Nothobranchius furzeri: one gene and its partners. The protein of the gene in region 1 purifies or fractionates together with the protein of each later gene. This does not show direct contact. Links are inferred from orthologs where the notes say so. Each region holds a gene or a part of one and is shown in the gene's direction. Other genes may lie near its edges. The genes, in order: smurf1, smad6b and stk38a.

What was found.
Region 2: the proteins of smurf1 (region 1) and smad6b purify together in Homo sapiens (affinity purification with western blotting; 4 studies listed by BioGRID). This does not show direct contact. The link is inferred for Nothobranchius furzeri from reciprocal best matches to the Homo sapiens genes SMURF1 and SMAD6.
Region 3: the proteins of smurf1 (region 1) and stk38a purify together in Homo sapiens (affinity purification with western blotting; 3 studies listed by BioGRID, with this or other methods). This does not show direct contact. The link is inferred for Nothobranchius furzeri from reciprocal best matches to the Homo sapiens genes SMURF1 and STK38.

Annotation. Positions count from the first base shown.
Region 1 is NC_091752.1:65,335,430-65,342,169, forward strand, and holds part of smurf1 (E3 ubiquitin-protein ligase SMURF1), read left to right. Parts: intron 1-4,397; coding exon 4,398-4,436; intron 4,437-4,537; coding exon 4,538-4,646; intron 4,647-4,730; coding exon 4,731-4,864; intron 4,865-4,952; coding exon 4,953-5,018; intron 5,019-5,115; coding exon 5,116-5,191; intron 5,192-5,339; coding exon 5,340-5,551; intron 5,552-5,639; coding exon 5,640-5,724; intron 5,725-6,740. UniProt on the Homo sapiens protein: E3 ubiquitin-protein ligase that acts as a negative regulator of BMP signaling pathway. Mediates ubiquitination and degradation of SMAD1 and SMAD5, 2 receptor-regulated SMADs specific for the BMP pathway.
Region 2 is NC_091744.1:65,940,826-65,948,109, reverse strand, and holds the start of smad6b (mothers against decapentaplegic homolog 6b), read left to right. Parts: upstream 1-3,130; 5' UTR 3,131-3,347; coding exon 3,348-4,146; intron 4,147-6,296; coding exon 6,297-6,353; intron 6,354-7,284. UniProt on the Homo sapiens protein: Transforming growth factor-beta superfamily receptors signaling occurs through the Smad family of intracellular mediators. SMAD6 is an inhibitory Smad (i-Smad) that negatively regulates signaling downstream of type I transforming growth factor-beta.
Region 3 is NC_091755.1:45,358,241-45,365,724, reverse strand, and holds the start of stk38a (serine/threonine-protein kinase 38), read left to right. Parts: upstream 1-3,400; 5' UTR 3,401-3,800; exon of another isoform or gene 3,801-3,910; intron 3,911-3,978; exon of another isoform or gene 3,979-4,272; intron 4,273-5,785; 5' UTR 5,786-5,792; coding exon 5,793-5,923; intron 5,924-7,484. UniProt on the Homo sapiens protein: Serine/threonine-protein kinase that acts as a negative regulator of MAP3K1/2 signaling. Converts MAP3K2 from its phosphorylated form to its non-phosphorylated form and inhibits autophosphorylation of MAP3K2.

The DNA of each region.
Region 1 (6,740 bases):
GCTATTTTTAGATGAGCACATTAGCTGGTTAAGCTAGTGGGAGCTTGCGCCATGGGGAAGTGCAAGTTTAATGGTATCTAGATGGCTAATCCCACGTTTGCAACGTGGTTAGCACCGGTTCCAGGCAATAGCAGGAAATTATAGCTTAAATTTAATTGAAAAAAAAAAAGCTTAAATTGGTCAAAGTGGCCTTAAAAAGGTCTTAAAAAGTCTTAAATTTGGCTCCCTTAAACCTGCAGATACCCTGTATATAGCGACTCGTTGCATTCTCCCTTAGCCCAAATCCTCAGATCACGCATTTTAGCTAAAACGCTAACGCTAGCTTGCCTTGCGTTGACTGTAGAGTTGTGGGTGATGGTCACACAGATGTGTCATGAGATTTGAAGCGTTGCTGCCTTTCACAGACACTTTTTCTGCACGTGCTGCAAACAGGATAGCAGTCTTCTATAAACTGTCCTCCGGCATTCTTCAAATACCCAAAAAATGCCCGTACTTCCCACTTTGTCTTCTTTGAGGGATAATAAATGTCCTGCGCGCTGCCGTCTCCTCCTTTGGCCATTATTTCAGCTTTAGCTTCAAGAAAGTTTTGGTTGTAAACAACAAAGCGCGCATGTGCTGCCGGCAACTTCAGCAGATGATACGGTGGCTGGTAAGGGTCACCGCGCCTACACCGCAGCCACGGTAAACCCACCGAGATCTTTTTTTTTTTTTTAAAAACAAGACTGTTATTATTATTGTCAACTTTTTTACCGGGGTTTACCGCTACACCGGTTACCGTGACAACCCTACTCTCCGGTTGCAAATGTGGTATTCTGGCTACTGGGGCTGAGAGACCCTTACATTAACCCTGTAAAGGGTCATTTTAGCACATGCTGGCTCAAGAAACTTATTTAAAAATGTTTAAAAAATTACATAGTTTCCCTTTAATCTGAGTTTAAGAGTCAAAGGAGAAAATCCATCTTTTAAAAAAGGTGATGGAGAATAACTGGAAATGGGTGACCAGCTGAGCCGTCTCAGCCATGACCTTGGCTGGTGGGAGGTTTTCTCTGAAAGAGCCTGTCTCACACACACACAGAGCACCACAAGAGAGCTGGTCAAGAGGCGGAAAGAAAACGATGAATAGATGCATTTAGAGGTGTCTGTCTCTGGGAGGAGTTTGGAAGATTAGAGGTTTGGATGGCTCAGCAGGACAGAGACGGGAGACAGGAGAGACTTCCTGTATGGATTCAGTGAAAGAAGAGTCAGAGTTCAGACACTCGACTCTTTTCCTCTCTGGGTATTTTATTGTGTCTGATAAAAAGATGAGGTCTGGGGGAGGAATGTGTGAGTCAGATGGAGGAGCAATGAAAGAGGTTGACGAGGAAAAGGGAAGGATATCCTGCAGCCATTCTCCGTTGGTTAATCACAGGAAATAGGCCCGGCTACGCCAGACACATGTACGCCACCTCCTTCATCACATCCCACAGCACAGACTTCTTAGGAAGTCTCAGATCCTGGGAGGAAAAAGGCAAACCGTGAAAACCATTAATATTATTATTCTAATGGTTTTCTAAACTGCTCAGCAAGAGTCTAAATTAGTAATATTTCAATCGCATTTTTTCGCTCCTGATCCGAGTCCAAGTCGCTTGTTTTTGTGCGTCTGCTGGATACAGAGTCCCAGTCCGAGACTTGAGCGAAGCGTTGAAACAAGAAGATAAAAGGAGAACACATCCAAGTTCTCCTTTTAAGTTTTCTTTATTTTATTTATGTATTTCTTTCTGTATTTGTCATTTCCTTAGTCTATCTGCAGAGGAAACATTCAGGAAGTATGTTAGTATGAAAAGTTAATATCACAAGTATATATAAAATGAGCCTTGTCGCTCATTTCAAATTGATTGCGTCCTCAATATGCATCTGTGTTGTATTGTTCCTGAGGCGGGGCGGCGGCATGGCTGGCGGCTCACTTTTCTTTGCACAACACCTACCTACCGCAGCTCAGCTGCTCCAGCAGGCTGAATCCCAACATTTTGTTGTTTGTCACCTATTTTTGATATACCCATATTGTCTTACTCTTACAGGACAGCAGTAGCCCAGTAGGTAGAGTGGGTTGTCCAGTAATCAGACGGTTGCAGGTTTGATCCCGGCTCTGACCAGATAATGCTTCTGTTGTGTCTTTGGGCAAGACAGTTAACCCACGTTGCCTGCTGGTGGTGGTCGGAGGGACCTGTGGGGGCAGTGTTTGGCAGCCCCGCCTCTGTCAGTGCGCCCCAGCGCAGCTGAGGCTACATCACAGCTCATCCCCACTAGCGTGTGAATGGGTGAATGACTGATTGTGTTGCGAAGCGCCTTGGGGGGGTTATAGAACCCATTTAATTTCTGACACTGATATATGCAACTCATAAAAGAACAATAACTAAATAATTTTAGGATAATCGCTTTTTTTTTCATTTCAGGCACAACAAAATATATATATATAAAACATAAAGTGCACAAAAACAAGAAACAAAAATTACCTGAAAAGAAGTGGGATGAAGAAAACTTATTAAATCCCACCCCTGCTCTCACCTCAGACCTATAGTAGGGTTGTTACGGTGTGAAAATGTAACCTCGTGGTTATTCTGACCAAAATTATCACGGTTTTCGATATTATCGCGGTATTTTTTTAAACATGTTAAATTTTCAGGGTTACTAAATAAACAACAAATATTGTCCTCAGTTTGTGTCTAAAATTTGCCTAAAATGTGTTATTTTGTAATTATGTTGTTTATTTGTTTACATTTTTCCCCTTTAGTCTTTAAAATACCAATATTTGCCCATAACTTCTTATTTGTTGTCTGTTTGATGTCATCATTTTAAAAATATTAGATCAGATGATATTCAGTACTCTATGGACAAAAGGAGGAGACGGCAGCGCTCAGGACATTTATTATCCCTCAAAGAAGACAAAGTGGGAAGTACGGGCATTTTTTGGATATTTGAAGAATGCCGAGGGACGGTTGATAGAAGACGGCTATCCTGTTTGCAGCACGTGCAGAAAAAGTGTCTGTGAAAGGCAGCAACACTTCAAATTTCATGACACATCTGCGTGACCATCACCCACAAATCTACAGTTAACGCAAGGCAAGCTAACGTTAGCGTTTTAGCTAAAATGCGTGATCCGAGGATTTGGGTTGAGGGAGAATGCAACGAGTCGCTATATAAAGCAGCCGCAGCGCCGCTACCTGCATATAAACCGTGTCGCGGACACCCCCATGTTGAAATGACGCTATGCATTACGGGGCTCCCAGGGGCAGATAAGAGTTGGTCTCTCTCCGAGAATAATTATGAATTTAACAATGATTACTGCCTGATGACATTTTCCCACATCTGCAAAGCTCACTGGAACACAAACCGAGGACAATATTTTCCTGATTTAAGGTTTATTACTCAAGTAAGGGTAAAAAAGTATCTGATTAGAAGGCTACTTGAGTACTGAGTACCATCTGGTCTAATATTTTTAAAATGATGACATCAAACAGACAAAAAATAAGAAGTTATGGGCAAATATCGGTATTTTAAAGACTAAAGGGGAAAAATGTAAACAAATAAACAACATAATTACAAAATAAAAAAATTTAGGCAAAATTTAGACACAAACTGAGGACAATATTTTCCTGACATACAGGGTTTATTTAGTTGTCTGAAAATGTAACACGTTTAAAAAAAATACTGAGATAATACCGAAAACCGTGATAATTTTGGTCACAATAACCGTGAGGTTAAATTTTCACACCGTGACAACCCTAGAAGTAGCTGCTGGCTCCTGATTCGCCATCCTTTTGAAAATACTGCGGCGTATTCTGGGGAATTTTTGACACAGGCCAGGTTTGAATACACCTTCTGTGTATCCTTGCTCAGCTAGCTAAAAGGCTAACAAACGAAGAACACGCGCCTCGGTAGAACATGAGCAATTTGGAGCAGCCTTGGCGGTTCCTGATGATGTATCTCCTAGGCAACCGGGGTAGGACCAAGACATCAAGGCGAGGTTCCTTGACACTGAGGAACGGACCTTACCTTCCTCCTGAGAAGTTCTTCTCTGCTGGTTGGGTTGTGTGCAGTCCTGGCAGCGACACTGCCCCCGGGTGTTCATGTGCTGCATTGCAGTTAAAAACATCCGAGTTAAGATAAAGAAAAAACCTGTATTGATGATTTTTTAGATAAATTTCAGCTTAAAGCATAACTAATTGTTGGTTTCTGCTGTGATGGGTGTCGTGTTTTAGTTTCTTAGTTTTTCTGCTCATTGAAATTCAAACCTGCATTCTTCCTCCTCCGAATCTTTTTCTGCACCAGATTTCATGGCAGCAGCCCACACGCCATCATTAACTACATGTTTATGCATGTGACATTTTCTTCATACTTTCTCTTTTTGTTTATTGTAGTATTGTGTGCCAAGAACCTCGCAAAGAAAGACTTCTTTCGTAAGTATTTTTACGTCAGTGTTTTTGTAAATATTATTATTTTGTTGCAACAATGGAAACAGAGAGCTGGTGTGTGTGTGTGTGTGTGTGTGTGGGTGCAGGTCTACCAGATCCATTTGCCAAGGTGGTGGTAGACGGATCGGGCCAGTGCCACTCCACCGACACCGTCAAGAGCACACTGGATCCCAAGTGGAACCAGCACTATGACCTGTGAGTTTCCTTTCTGTAAAGATGTTTGACCTTGATGAAAATGTCACAATATATTCAAAATGATGAATGGAACTTGTTCTCCAGCTACATCGGGAAGACGGACTCCATCACCATCAGTATATGGAACCATAAGAAGATCCACAAACGACAGGGGGCGGGGTTTCTGGGCTGCATACGGCTGCTTTCCAACGCCATCAGCAGGCTAAAAGACACAGGATGTAATTCTAATTCGTCGTGGTTTAAAACTTTCCTTTGACTCATTTATCATGACTGAGATTAAAACCCTGAGTTTGCTTCCTCCTCCAGACCAGCGGTTAGATCTCTGTAAGCTGAACCCCTCTGACAGCGATGCAGTCAGGGGTCAGATTGTAGGTAAGACTATTTGTCCAAAACGGTGTTTTTCTCGCGTCGTCCCTTCCTGTCCCTCGCCCTGTCAGCACTTTAATCTGGTCGTTCTTGTTGTTTACAGTTAGCCTACAAACACGAGACCGCATCGGCAGCGGCGGGCCGGTGGTGGACTGTAGAGGCCTGCTGGAAAATGAGGCGTAAGTGTGTTGCCACGTGTTTTTGCTGAATTTATCAAACTCCATCCTGTGAATAAGGTCACCACAAAATTTGGGAGCAAAATATGTTTTCTTACTGGTTTGATCACCGTTAGTTTAAGCTGTGAGGTTTGTTTTCTTTTTGGTGCAGGCCTGTTTTTGAGGGATGTTTCAGCGAGGAGCCGCTCCCCTACTCTGACCCCACTGGTGCTGCGGGAGGCGGGAACTGCCGGCTGGACTCCCCAAATCAGGAGAGCCGTCTTCCATCGCAGCGAATCAGGGGGCAGGACTCCAGAGGTCACGGCCACACCCCTCAGAACAGACCGCACGGGCATCAGCCGCCTGACCTGCCGGAGGGATACGGTTAGTTTAACAGCAAAGGTTTTATCCAACCCAAACTTGACTCAGATAGTTTCTAAGGCCGTTTTATCTGTTTTTGCTTTAAAAACAGAGCAGAGAACAACAGTTCAGGGGCAGGTGTACTTCCTTCACACACAGACAGGGGTCAGCACCTGGCACGACCCTCGGATACCACGGTGAGCGATCACACACTGCTGCTTCTCTCACTCTCCAAACATCACCCATATGGAACTAGGATTGGGACAATTTTACATGTAACTTGTACCAAGCTTTGTAACCCGTAACATGTTTTGTAACTGCAACTTTCGTTTTGTAACACGTAACATTTGGTACATAACTTGAAACTTTCATTTTGTAACTTTCAGAAAAAAAGTCAGTGCACAAGTTCCAAATCACAAGTTTCAAAACACAAATCTCAGTCTACAGTTACAAAACATTTTGTCCCAATTCTAGCTTCCTTCTCAAAGAACCAATGACGGGCTTTGTCTGACCAGCCAATCATGAGTCTTAGATTCCTGTCGAGGACAATTCCTGTTGGAAGCAAGCTAGAATTGGGACAAAATGTGTTGTACTTGTAGACTGAGATTTGTGTTTTGAAAGTTGTGATTTGGAACTCGTGCATTGATTTTTTTCTGTAAGTTACAAAATAAAAGTTTCATGTTACTTACCGAAGTTGCATGTTACAAACTGAGAATTACATGCTACAATACTAAAGTTACATGTTACAAAACATGTTACAAGTCACATGTAATAATGTCCCAATCCTAGCTCCATACACCCAGAAACAGGCGAGAATAAACAAGAATACAAGGTCCTGGTGCATTTCATAGAAATAACTTCATGAGAATAAAAAGATGAGAAGAAACGATGCAGCAGCCGCTGATATTTCAACGTTAGTTTGGTTCTAATCTAAGCTACGAGAAAATGCTGGTTTTGATGTTTAAAGAGCAAGTCACTCCAAATCAACATTTTTTTGCTGATAAACTATATAAATGAGTGTCTGATTGCTGTAGACAAATGTAGTCAATAATTTGGCATTTTAGTGCATCTTCATTAAAATTTTAATTTTCTGCCTAAAACTGTCAGTGATGCACCGTCGTCAGGCAAAAACTCAGCACTGCATTTGCATTCTGCCGTCGCTATTGGCTAAGAGGTACACTATGATGTCAAATGGTACATTATGATGTCACAA
Region 2 (7,284 bases), on another chromosome or scaffold:
ATGAGCTACGATGTAGCCACAGCTGTCCTGGGGTACACTGACAGGGACGAGGGTGCCGAGCGCTGGCGCCACCGGTCCGTCAGCCCACCACCAGCAGGCAAGGGAGGTTAAGTGTCTTGCCCAAGAGCACAATGACAGCAACAAACTGAGCACGGTTCGAACCTGCAACCTTTCGATTATAGGGAGAGCTCTTAACTCCTGTGCCACCATCACCCCACAATCCTCATGTGTTTTGGGAATTATGTGCCAAAAACAAGCCATTTCAAAAAGTCCCTGATCGTGATGTCACATTAAGGGAAATTAGCATAGAATCCCTCTTACCTGTCAATGCATGTTGGAGCTCTACTTAAAGCCCCTCCCTGATATTCAATTCAATTCAATTCAAAAATACTTTATTAATCCCAGAGGGAAATTGATTAATATCTGTACTCGGTTTGGTGTGCCAATCACAGCTCTCAATCAATTAGGTGGGTGGGATGTTACTGCGACTGGGCAAAAGTAAGATGGCATTGGCTCGTTTGAAACAGCCTTGGCATCAACCTTGAACTTTTAGAATTGGGCTTTTCTATGAGTCAAATGCAGATGGAGATAATTAAAAGCTTTGTTCAGAAATTGGATGTAGTTGTGTCTTCTTTGACATGGTTTGGCGAACTGCCCTGTTGACTGACATCTGTAGCAGTGAGTACATCATGGTGTTTGTTATTGTTATCCAATAGCATGCAGAGAAAGTTTGAAAGACAACTGTAGATCCTGCTTCATAGCTGAGATGAGTCAATGGGTCATGGCCAGACATTCACAGCAGGTTGGCTTGCCAGCATGGATGTTTTTTTTTTTTTTGGAGGGGAGGGACATGTCACCCCCTACTTTTTCCAAAGTAAACTTTTGTCCCATGCACTTTTTACCATCCAAAAATGATATTACGCTAATTTAAATAGACACTGGTTGAGTTCTAGGACCAAGCGGAAAACAACTACTTGTGTTGAAGCCTGTCTCCCATTAGAACCGTTCATAAGCTCATCTATTGGCTTTTCTGATACTTGCTAACATGTGATTGGCCATTCTTGCTGTCACTCCACATTGTTAACAGGATGTGCCCACTTTTTTTTCCAGCTGCCAGGATGGTATTCCAGAAAGAGACTTTAGAACATCTACCTGATAAATCCCTGCTTGACAAAGCGCTCCCCTCCCCTCCCAGTTTCGCCGGCTCCACTAATGATTCTCAGGTGGATTCAATTCCCTATCGGCCTATCGTCAATCAAGGCTCACGCGTGTCCATAGACAGCCCCTGTTAATCGATGCTAGATAAATGAGAATGGAAGTAAAGAACAGAGCCTCGTTCTTCATCCAGACAGAACAAGACTTATTCATCAATCCCTACGAGGACTACAAAGATATCGTAACTAAAATAGAGACCATGAGCTGATTGAAAAAAGCTGTGTAGCTGGCACTATTTAGTTAGAACGCGCATGGACGTAGTTTTGTCTTAAGAAGTGGGGGGATACAACCGACATGGGGGGGGGGGGGCTTTACAGTATGTTCTAATGGGGAACAAGCTTAAACACAAATGGTTGTTTTCCGCTTGAGGACTTTGCTTTTGCTGAGAAGCTGTGAGCTTTAAGAACATACATTTGTGGTGATCACATGACCCTAAAGTTAACACTGTAAATTGTTTATCACAAATATACATTTAGCAAATGTATATTTGTGATAAACGATTGTACTTACTGTAAAGGTTCCCCACCACCCCCAGTCCTCATATCGGTTGTGTCCCCCCCACTTCTAAAAGCAAAACTACGTCCATGCTTGCCAGGCTGCTTGATTGTGCCTACTCCTCCTCCGTTTAATATCACAAAAAAAAAAAAACATTTTAAAAAACTATGGCATTTTTATAGCTTTACGATGTGTGTATTTGTATTAGGGGTTCTAAAACTGATTTTTTAAGACGGTTAGTGAATTAACTAATCACCACATAACATATTACGACCAAGATATAATTTTTGGAACTAAATTGTCATTTTTTGCTTGGTGGGGTTAAAACAGTAAAAACAAAAAACGAAGTCATATTTTGTTTTTCTTTTACAATGCTTGTGCAGAGTGATGAGTGTTATAATTCAATACATTCTCACTCCCAGCGCAATTAATTTACAGGTTTTCTTCAGACTCCAGAAATAAAATAATCACAGATGCTCGCTTCTTTAAACTTCAAGTAAATATATAGACTATAGATAAAAGTTCTTAACTTTGTTTTCTTCTCTCATCAGAAGACGCATCAAGGATGTGAGAGTTTCAGTAACTTTGACTTAAAACCCGAGAGGTGAGTGTTTCGCCTTTAAGAGTTAAGAAACTTGAAACCTTGTTTGCGCAACAATCAGTGCAGCTCATAGCCGCCAAAGTGTCTAGACTAGCACATGATGGTAGTCAGCCAATGGCTCCACCGCTCTCCTCGGGGGCCCCGTGTGTGTGTGTGTGTGTGTGTGTGTGTGTGTGTGTGTGTGTGTGTGTGTGTGTGTGTGTGTGTGTGTGTGTGTGTGTGTGTGTGTGTGTGTGTGTGTGTGTGTGTGTGTGTGTGAGAGAGAGAGAGAGAGAGAGAGAGAGAGAGAGAGAGAGAGAGAGAGAGAGAGAGAGAGAGAGAGAGAGAGAGGAAGACGAGGGGGGGAGTGAAATAAAAAAAGAGCGAGAAACGGAGAAAGAAAGGGATCTGGGCTTCAGTTTGGTTTAGATCTGAGAAGGAGAGTTACTCAGCGCCAGATCAGTCCGCTTCCTCCTCTCGCCTGGATTTTCTTTATTATTTTTTAATTTTATTTTATTTTTGGGGGATTTATAACCAGAAAGAAGTGTTTCGTCTCCAAAAGACAGCAAGGATTTTGGTGCACTTTGTTTCTTCTTGGGAATGAATCGCATTGAAGTACATGCTACCAATTGTACCGGTGACAAAAAGCAGATCTGAAGCCGTTAAAAGTGAATCTGTTTCAGGCTGAGACTGACCGACATGGATTATGTGACTTTCTGTTTTATTCACTCCTAGCAAACACAAACAATCCATTCCGCAGCGATCCTGGAGAAAACACGCTTCCACCCGCCTGGTTGTTTACAGTCTGATCGGCCGAATGCATGCATATTGAACAGAATGCTGCATTGCATTTAATGCATGCTTTTGTTACTCTAGATGCAACAAAATAGCCTCCACTCTAATGTTGCGGTTTCGCCACCAGTGCTCTCCAATTGGCTGTGCAAGCACTGCACGGCGTTTCTGTCACCGTCATTAATGTTCTGCAAAGACACAATAATCTGTGGTATATCCGTTAAATAATAATAACAAAAAACCTAATAGATATTCAAGTTGTCGTATGTTCAGGACGAAACGTTCAGGTCTTGTGCGGCGACTCTGGAGAAGCCGTTTGATCCCAGATAAAGAAGGGGGAGATGGAAATGGCAAAACTAGCACCGGAGACGGCTGTAGGGACGATCTGTTCTGCAACAACCCAGAGAAAATTCCCAAAACGGAGTTCAGACCGATGACCCCCTCTGGCGGGTCTGTAGTCAGGGACGTGGGGGGTGTGTGCTCCATGGAGAGCAGCGGCGCTTCGGACCAAGAAGATGCGGGTGCGATGTGCGTCCGGGAGCAACGAGGGAGCCCCCGCTCCATCCAGGACAGCGAGTGCAGGACAGTAACGTGCTGCTTGTTCACTGACCGGGACCACTCCGAGCTCAGGGCTGCAGAGACGGCTCAGGGCGCCAGAGATCCTGGCTCTTGCCACTTCATGTTGAGGAGCCTCGGACCAGGAGGAGACAGCGGCTCTCCCGAGGCGCAGGAGGCGATGCCGCGCGCGGTGCTGGAGCAGGAGCTGAAATCAGCCACGTACTCCCTCCTGAAGAGGCTCAAGGAGAGGGCGCTGGATACTTTACTGGAGGCGGTGGAGTCCAGGGGTGGCATGCCGAGCGACTGTGTGATGATTTCCAGGACAGAGCTGATTTTGGGCGGACATGTGGCGTCCCCTCAGCTGCTGGCGTGTAAAGTGTACCGCTGGCCCGACCTGCAACAGTCAGCCCAGCTCAAACTGCTGTGTGAGTGCAGGAGCTTTGGGGTTCCGGACAGTCCAACAGTGTGCTGCAACCCCTATCACTACAGCCGACTCTGTGGCCCAGGTAAGGACATCAGCACCACAACCTTCTTCTGCTTCTTTACAGATCAAAAAACACCCCATAAAGACACTGATGACGTTTTTAGTTTATATAACAAAACAAACGGACATCTCATGAGCTATAAAATATTTACAACAGTCAGGAAAAATGGCATTATGAACAGCTCTAATCCATATTTGTGAATAAATGTCAAAATATTGATAATGTCTGATGACAGTTCTGTTTACATTAACATGGCACATATTTGAGGTGATCACTAGTTTAAGGCTTGCAAAGTTCTATTTAACTAACTTTTATGTCATAACAGCGCATCACACACGCTGACCTATTAGATCAGTGTTCATGTTACTCGCAAAGCACTTTTACTGTGAAATCTAGCAGCCAGTATTGGTGGTTGTGAATAAGTGTTGGTCAGTACATCTGCTTTGAGTTCTTACAACTGTTTTGAGTTAGTGTGAACTATTAGACTCATTCTAAGGCTTGAACCTGCTGCCACAGGTCGGTTTATTTGCAGAGAGAGAGGGAGGGAGAGAGAGATCTCTAAGGCACAACCTCCCTGACCTATATTAAAGAGATTAAATGTTGGCTGGGGTTGGCCCGTGATGGAAAACCTGGGCGACTCAACCCCGCTGACCCCCCGTGACGAGGCCTGGCTTCGTGTGTGAAGATGCAAGCATCAGTATTTCTGTCACCTCACTGGCACCGGTGGAGGATTTTCCATAACATCCACATTTATTAGAGCCATGCTCCCCATGACACGCACTCCAAAAGACATGAGGCAAGAAATTATTGGGATCCATATTGTGGAAGGCCAAAGGCACATTGTTTGCCTTTGGCTTTCTTGGTTACTTAATCACAAATGTGTCAGTTCTGGAAGAATTATGATGTTTGAGCTGAATAAATCTGTTCCATCTGCTCGTGTGGATTGGAGGCCATGCTGTGGGATCTTCCTCCCCGACTCAAACCTCCGAGATGATGAGCTGTAAAGCAGAGAGAGGCATGAACCCCATATTGGGACTGAGGCTCGTAGTGGACATAACTCACATGCGCTCATGCGTGGCAAGATAGAGCTGGTATTTCTTTCGCGCTATTTGAAGAAGAAGGCCATTGAATGTGGACCTTAATCACTGCTGCTGACAATGTTTGTAAATGGGAATGGAGGAGAAGTCCCTGAATTGAACAGAATAAGATTGGGTTTGACCAAATTCTAAACACGTCTAAGAAAGCGGTTTGAATTGCAGTCAGGTTGACTTGTTTACGTGTGAGTTTTAACACAGGCAAAGAGCTTGAATTGGACAGAAACTTTTCCCTTTTATTTGGCCAGGCTTTATACTTTTCGAATGAGATCAGTTTCAAGTTGCACTTTAAAAGCCCTTTTGTCCCGAGGAGGTCCCCTCATGCTATTTAGGTGAAGGAGTGGTGATAATATACAGTTTGCATACTGCTGGCGCCAGACTGACTCGCTGTGTATCTGAGTGACTGAGTTCAGATCCTGGCAATTACTGCCGCCACTCTTAAAAGACCCGCTGCTATTATGCTTGCCTCCTTCCCATTTCTCCCCCCCACAGACGAGGTCACGGCATGCTCACAAACTTTTCTCTCCTTTGTGCTGTCCCCCTTGTGCTCTCCAGTCCTGTTTTATGAGATAAAGTCGAGCTGTTTGGAGGCAGTGGCTTTTATACTATCTGCTGTTCACATGCTTAAACCAGAAGAGCAAATGTTCTGTTGGTTTTATGAGCTTTTAAACTAGCTTGTGAACTAAAAGATGTCAAATACATTATGAAGAAGTCTGGTACTCTTGACACTGATCTGTTGTCTCATGTGTTGACGCGACTGTTGTGGCTTGAGTCAAGTTGTGCATGAGTGTCCTCTTCCTTTTCCCTTTTTATGAAAGACTTTGATCACAACTTCAAACAGAATCTCATTCAACGTGTGGTATGCATGTAATGCGTGTAATACTATAAAAATACTCAAGTTTGTCTTGTCAGAACACAAGTCTTTACAGTTTAGTACGCAAAGAAGCAGAGCTAGAAGTCTTCATCCGACATTCTTTAACGTCCTGCTTTATTCTGCTCTGTTTAACTGAAGATTTTGATTTACAGAAGACTTTTCATTGTGTAATTTGGATATTTATATTACTGTTTTGTGTGCAGAGTCACCTCCTCCTCCATATTCAAGGCTTTCCCCTAACGAAGAACACAAGCCACTGGGTAAGAGACAAAAACAATAATAAACTCTGTTACATTTGAAGTCTTTCCATGTATTTTATGTGGTTATGAATGTTTTTTTAATTGATCATGCTTGTTTAATTTGGAAGAGTGCAAAGACTTTAAGGTGTGGAACACTTAAAACACATTTTTAAAATAATTATTCCAGATTATAATCAGTCGCTCTGAGTTTTTCATGCAGGCTGAACATGACAGTCTCCTACACTTATCTCCTGCATTAGCCTCTGACAGTGATGGTTTGGTGAAAATCCTGGTTTTGAAAAGCTCGACAGATCTACATCACAATATCACTAAGTATTAATGGACTCACCCATCGTGACTCGTGATGGGGAATGGTGTTGTGGGTTTAGCGTCCAGGAAACAGCGGATAACATCTTAGCAAGTAGAAGCTAACCATTAGCATGCAAGTAGAAGCTAACCATTAGCATTAGCAACACCACTACACAGCAGAAAACCTCCATGCTGTTATTTGTGGAGATAAAACATAAACTTTGAAGTGAGTGAAAGAGTCGCGTTGCTGTTATCCAATCCGGAGCGAGATGTTCAAATATCAGGAAATAAGACCATTGTCTAAAGCTCAGCTATGATGTGGTTAACAACTAGTTCCTGAAAATGGTGCCCCGGTATATTTTCCCCCCAGGGTATGACTTACAAGGCATTAATTCCTACTAGAAACCACTGCAAACAAATCGATTAAATGGGTTTCCCACACCTTTAAATAAAAAAGTGTGCACAGGTTGAATTACAGTTGGAGAAAAAAAGCTGAACACACTTTTAGGTACCTGATAATATTTTTATAGATCAGTTAAAAACAATTTATATCCATGAATCATGTCTGGAGTAAAAAAGCACCACTTATATAACAAGAACACCCAGCAGTAAGCAGTTGCGGAGGTGTTCTTTGCTGCTTGGA
Region 3 (7,484 bases), on another chromosome or scaffold:
TCACGCTAGCAGCTCCTGGCTGGCACTGAACCTTTTTGTTGTTTCTGTGTATTCTTCCACATTCCTCTAATGTGTGTGTGTGTGTGTGTGTGTGTGTGTGTGTGTGTCCGTGTGTGCTGCAGGAATATTTCACAGGAAGATTCTTGAACATCAGGAGAAGAGGGACCGGACGAGGAAACACTAGCTGACTGGCTCCGGGTGTAAATATGCGATCAGAGAGGAGATGATGTGAATATTGTGTTCTAGTGACTCTGAAGCTTTAGTGTGAATTACTGTGTGACTGTGCTGCTGCTACTCGGTGTCTGACACTGGTGTTCGAGAGACTTCTGGCTCAGGTAGCGGTTCTCCTCCTGTGGCTGGAGTCCAGATGCTGATAAACAGGAAAATCGTTTCCTATCAGGACTCACTTCCAACCGCCGAGCTCTGATTTTAGACCTGCGCTGCTTCTGCAGAGATTAGTTTGTGGGGTTTTTTCCACTCTTTGTGACTGACTTCACTGATGAATAATAAATATTGGTTTAGAGAGCTTGACTCAGTGTGTAAAACTGGTGTTTGAACCCAGATGTGTGACCCAAATCCTCATACATCAGCTGTTCCCAGAAGCAAGAGTCGCCCTAAAGACCCTGAAAGGTGAATTAACATCCATTTGGACTCAGATCTGCCTGTACTTTAGATATAGTCACATCCTCTAAATGGTGATCTGTTGGTGGTGCTCCAGTGCCCTCTGATGGCTGGAAGAGGAAATGTTGAAATTATTTAAATATGTAAATTGTTTGGGGAAAAAATCTATTTCCTTTTATTTGATGATAAAAACAATGTTTTATTAGATGCAGAAAAATGCAACTGGACGTGTCTATTTCCTGAAGACAGTTTTTTATCACTTCAAAATAAGTGATGGAGTCCTAGGTAATTAAAACTTAATTAATGCAAGTTAGTCTGTTCTCTTTAAGAAGTAAATGCTCTGTGGAATAATCACCTGAAGGGTTGTCTCTCCCGTGTTTGTGTGGATGTTCGGTTACCCACTCAGCTCAGGTTTGGGTGCACCTGTTTCTGCCTGAGGGGGTTGTTGGGTCTGAGGAGGACCGGGATGTTCTGTTTGGGAAAAAAATCCCAGTTTTCAGAATCCGGCCACTTCTGAAACGTCTCTGTTTTTACACGTGCAGTCATTTTTGGACCAACGGGGGATTATCAGGCCTTGGAGGACTGATAACCAGCAGGCATGTGACTCGTTAATGATGTTAAACCCACTGAAATGAATCTGTTTGGCTGCTGGACTTTTTCCAACACAGCTGTATTTTCTACATGCCCACAGCGCCACCTGCTGGGTGTTTGTGAACGGTGTGATGGAGATTCCTCTGGAAGGCTGGTCTGTCTTTTATGATTAAACAATAGTTCTCATTAAAGTAATAGAACATATTCGCCTCACGTGGTGGGACTCAGGATGATGTTTTTGTTATAATAAAGACATCTGAACATGATGTGTTTGATCTTGTGTTGAAAAGTTCAGATGACGTTTAAACGGTGATTACATTTTTAGGAAAACCTTCAGGTTGCTAAAACATTTAATTTATGCTCATTACAAATAGTTTTCTAAAAGCAACCATTTAAAGAGTGGGGAGAATATGTAGGATCCATTCGTGCTTTCATTTCTACTTTTAGTTTTTCCACTTATGATTTTTTTTTTCTTGTGAAACCTTTAGAGGATTTATTTACATATTTTTACATCTTTTGGGAAAAGCAGCCAGAGAAAGACTTTCGATCGGCTCCAAAGAGGTTCTGGCAAACTGTCCGGCGCCTCAGGAGAGGGAGGCAGCAACTCGCTCACACTGTTTACAGTGGGGATGGGGAGCTGCTGACGTCAACTGAGGCTATAGTCGGACGGTGGAAGGAATACTTGGAGGAGCTCCTCAATCCCACCTACGCGCATTCCGAGGAGGAACCAGAGCCGGGAGACCTGGGGATGGACTGTCCAATCTCGGGGGCAGAAGTTGCTGAGGTAGTCAAACAACTACACAGCGGCGGAGCCCCGGGGGCGGATGAGGTTCGTCCTGGGTATCTCAAGGCTATGGATGTTGTAGGGCTGTCATGGTTGGCACGTCTCTGCAACATTGCGTGGTCATCGGGGGCAGTTCCTAGGGAGTGGCAGACCGGGGTGGTGGTCCCCATCTTTAAGAAGGGTGACCTGAGGGTGAGTTCCAACTATAGGGGGATCACACTCCTCAGCCTCCCTGGAAAGGTCTACTCCAAGGTACTGGAGAGGAGGGTCCGATCGATAGTTGAATCTCAGATTGAGGAGGAGCAATGTGGTTTTCGTCCTGGCCGTGGAACTGTGGACCAGCTCTATACCCTTGCAAGGGTGATGGAGGGGGCATGGGAGTTTGCCCAACCAATCCACATGTGCTTTGTGGATTTGGAGAAGGCTTATGACCGTGTCCCCAGGGGCACCCTGTGGGGGACGCTCCAGGAGTATGGGGTGGGTGGCTTTCTGTTAAGGGCCATTCAGTCCCTTTACCAGAGGAGCGTGAGTTTGGTCCGCAGGTCGTAAGTCGGACCTGTTCCCGGTGAGGGTTGGACTCCGCCAGGGCTGCCCTTTGTCACCGGTTCTGTTCATTACCTTTATGGGCAGAAGTTCTAGGCGCAGCCGTGGTGTGGAGTGTGTCGAGTTTGGTGGCAGGAGAATCTCGTCTCTGCTTTTTGCGGATGATGTGGTCCTCCTAGCTTCATCCAGCTCTGACCTTCAGCTCTTGCTGGGTAGGTTCGCGGCCGAGTGTGAAGCGGCTGGGATGAGGATCAGCACCTCCAAATCTGAGACCATGGTTCTCGACCGGAAAAGGGTGGCTTGCCAACTCCGGGTCGGGGGAGAGGTCCTACCACAAGTGGAGGAGTTTAAGTATCTCGGGGTCTTGTTCACGAGTGAGGGTAGGAGGGATCGGGAGATCGACAGGTGGATCGGTTCGGCGTCTGCAGTGATGCGGACGCTGAGCCGATCTGTTGTGGTGAAGAGGGAGCTGAGCCAGAAAGCCAGGCTCTCGATTTAACGGTCGATCTACGTCCCAATCCTCACCTATGGTCATGAGCTTTGGGTAATGACCGAAAGAACGAGATCGCGGATACAAGCGGCCGAAATGAGTTTCCTCCGTAGGGTGGCCGGGCTCAGCCTTAGAGATAGGGTGAGGAGCTCGGACATTCGGGAGGGACTCGGAGTAGAACCGCTGCTCCTCCGGATCGAAAGGAGCCAGTTGAGGTGGTTTGGGCATCTGGTCAGGATGCCCCATGACGCCTCCCTGGGGAGGTGTTTCGGGCATGTCCTGCCGGCAGGAGGCCCCCGGGTCGACCCGGGACACGCTGGAGATGTTACATCTCCAATCTGGTCCGGGAACGCCTTGGGGTCCTGCCGGAGGAGCTGGTGGAGGTGGCCGGGGAGAGGACAGTCTGGAGCACCCTAGTTGGGATGCTGCCCCGTGACCCGGACCCGGATAAGCGGAGGAAGACGACGAATATATATAATATATAATTTTTAATAGAGATAAAAATGGCACATGCGATCATATAAAATAAAATAAGTACATTTATATTTTAACAATATACAGTAGAGTAAAATAGATTTAGCTAAGTACAGAAATGTTTGATCATATTATTGACAAAAAGACAAAGTTGACTCATCTGGTTAAATAAAAGTAAATAAATAAATTGACAGGTCCACTCGGAGCCGCTAGGTGGCAACTGAGTAGAAAGCGAGGAGGATGCACCGCCCTCGGTGTAGAGCAAGAGACGCGGCAGATACCCCACCTTCGATCAAGGTAAGCGAACAAAGACTGACATGACAGACGGAATAAACCACTACTAGTTAGCATGGCGGACTTTTAGTTTAGTTCTGAAGTTATTGTTGACTGTTTTCCACCGCATGAAGGTCAGTTTGCACACAAAGACCTCGGGTAGCAAACAGCGTTTACTTGCTAACTTTCACTTAGCTGTTGGCTTAAAGAACTTCTACTTGTAAGACTTGTTTAAACGTATGAGGAATTTCCGGTAAAGACTGTCAAATTAAAAGTCCACTTTATGATTATGCCTTTAAGTCATTGTTGCTTTGTCGAGGGGAGCTTTATTTTGAAAATATTTCCGGCATTGTCATTACTTCTCCGGACTAGCTTGATGAAGCCAAGAACTTTAATAGCTAACTAGCTAGCTGAGTGCTGTTAGCGGGATAAGACGTTTGTTTACGAACCTGAAAGTTAGGGAAAAGTAAAATTTATTATCTCAACAGGAAACCAGGTAATGTTTAACTTCGTGGGTTAAGGACTTTAAGGGATTCCTTCTAATGAAAGTTATCTAACTGCGGCATTACATTCCAACCGAAACTAGCTACGTTTTTTTTCAGGGCTGGTTAGGTCAGTTTAGTGATTATTTAAACTTCCCCTCATTGTTTGCTTTTTACCACCGACTTGTGACTTAATGTTTAATTGAGCAGGAAATAAAACACTTTATTCAAGGTAATTTTGACTTTGAAACACACCCAGTTTAAGTTTAGACCTACTTAACAGGGCAGACTACCTTTTTGCGTTCATGCAAATGTTATGAAGATGTTTTACAGAAGCCTCGGGGATGGGCTGCTAGCTTTGAAGTCGTGGATTCAGTCATTCAAATAGCCAGTAAACTACCAGTGTGAATGTAATTGTTTTTTATTATTTTTATTTTTTTTGTGTTTCCTCGTTTCAAAAAGTCGTTTGCACATAGTAGTAAAATGATGGCTTTTACGTGTTGGTGAAATTGATTCTGAATTAAAAAACCTGCGTCATCTGAAGCTGCTTCTATCCTTTTTGGGATACCTGCATCAGAGCTGGCGCATCCAAACGACTTAAGTATGATTAAATAATTCTGTTGTTTACTGCATTTATCAGTTGACACAGCATTGCTCAATGGCTGCCTTCCTCTTCTTGTTTTAGCCAACCGTTTTCTCATCGTTTAGTTCCAGTTTTTAAGTTCAGCCCAGGTTCATTTTAACAGAGAATTGTTGCTGCGAGCTGGAGCGTGCAGCTTGTTTTCTTTCTTACAAACCCCCTGGAACTGTTTTGAAGTTGACCTCAAGAGGGAAAAAACCCCTTAAAGCTCTATCAGTGTAATCAAATCATATTAAACCTTTTTAAAAAACCCTTCCAGGCAGGTGATCTGTTAACTTGAACAGCTCTGATGCTCTTTAGAAATGTCAGACTTGCGTTTGTGTAAAACGGATCTTGTGACGCTTCCAAGAAGCTAAGAGGAATATTTTCAGTTTTTGGAAGTTTAAGTTGAGTCTGGCTTCACTACCTGGTGCTCAAAAGGTGTAGTCTCTCATTTTCAGGTTTAAACTTCCAAGAGGTTTATTTTTAATATAAATGTTTAGATATGTCGTAATTTTTCTCAGGTATACGTTAGATGATAAATTAGCTTTTTGAATTCAGATCAACTGAAACACAGTTTCATTCCTCGTATTTCTAAAGTTGTTCATCAGAAACTGGACAGATGGAGAGAAGAAGATGTTATTGTTCCAGTTGTGTGGCGTAAAGCTGGGATTCAACCTGTCATGTAACAGGAAATGAACCTGAACTGTCCATCTATCGTTTATCTTCCACGGATATGTAATTTAAGGCTGTAATTTAAGACGCTGCCTGCTGTAATGTTGTATGAGGGCTTGGATTGAAAACGTCAACCGTCTGCCTATAATTACCAGATGTATTATTTATATTTACTGCAACACAGTTTAAGGGGGGGACAGGAAGTTCTGATCACTTTAGTTTTGGTTTTCCAGACAAAGTATGGCGATGACTGGCCAGAGCTCGTTCTCCTCCATGAGTAACCACACCAAGGAACGGGTCACCATGGCCAAAGTGACTCTGGAGAACTTCTACAGTAACCTGATCGCCCAACACGAGGAGAGAGAGATGAGGTAAAACTACTCTGATCATTTTGTTTCCAGAACTAAAAGTTTAAAGGATTTTACCTGCTTGAACATTTAAAGTAGCTGTTTTTCTTCTTGGCTTGAACTCTGACAGAGCCCCGAACAGAGCAGGTGCAGGATTTATTTAAATATTTCTAAACATTTTATTGTTCTATTTGACATTTTTCCGAACTGATTGGTGAAGCAGCTCTGGTTGTTTTAACACGCTGAAGTCATCAACCTGACGTTGGGATTTGTGTTTCTGACTGGAGGATGTGGGTTGTGTCACGGTGAAGTTGGGGCAGGACCGTTTCCTGCTGCGATGAGTTGCATCACAGATTACTCACAAGAGTTGAAACAACAGGCAGCTGGACTTCTCCTCTTGGAGGACGTTTTGCCTCCCATCCTAAAGCTTCTCAGGGTTGGAAGTTCTCACCACAGTCGCATTAACGTCAGCCCATCATGTGACTCATTTGGACCATTATTGTTCTGATGCTAACACACGTGTGGTTTTAGATCACGTGTTTAAGGTGGTACTGCTTGTGAAACCACCCGGTGAGAAAAGTCCAACTGTTGGTTTCACACAGATGGTTTAATGTTGTTCAGCAGAAAGCACTATCACTGTCCTCAGAGGAGCGTCTCTTGTCTCCGAGTTGTAGGAGGACAGGTGAGTGTTGACCTGAGGAGCTGTTACGTGTCACTAGTGAGGAAGTCTGACCTGCTCAGCTCTTGTCTGGGTCAGCCAGTCTCTGTGGAACAATGGGGACATGTTCATCTCCATGCTGGAGAGCTCAGATAGCGGTTCCTGTTCCTCTTGGTGGAACTCTCGCTTGTCTTTGACGTCCTCCTTGGTTCTACTTCTTCAGTTTGACCTAGAACCCAGCTGTTGTCTGCTTATCAGAACCCGTGGCTCTGTGTTATTCCCCCGTGGACTCCAGTTCTCCTTTCCATTTCCACTGTGGGTGGAAGTGGGAACCATCTGTGTGTCAGCAGGTGTCTTTGGTGCGTTGAGTGGACAACAACAAGAGGGTCATTAAATAAAAGTTATGAATTTATTAGATCTAAAACGAGAAGTTGGATAATTTTACTGGATTAGATTTCCTGCTGGAAGGAAGGCTTGACCTTTCCTGGGATTTGGTGGTTTTTAGCTTGGCGCTTAATCACAGCTAGGAACGTGTGTGTGAGTGCAAACACACTTTATTCAATTATGTGTTAGACTCACACATCAGTTGTGTTTGTGTTTAAGTATCTTCTTTAGTCTTAAATGGCTTTTCATGATCTAAAGGTGTGTGTGTGTGTGTGTGTGTGTGTGTGTGTGTGTGTGTGTGTGTGTGTGTGTGTGTGTGTGTGTGTGTGTGTGTGTGTGTGTGCGTGTGCGTGCATGGACATTTTGCTGGTGAAGCACCCTAACACTTGGTCTTAAAGGTATGGTGTAAATTAGCTTTTACTTTAGGTTAGGGTGTGTGTGCGTCCTACACACAGAGGGTCGTTACCCCCTCAGCATCCAGAATGATAACGAATCGCTGGGCTGATTCTATCCGACCAATCGGAGGCTCCCCCTAATGGTAGG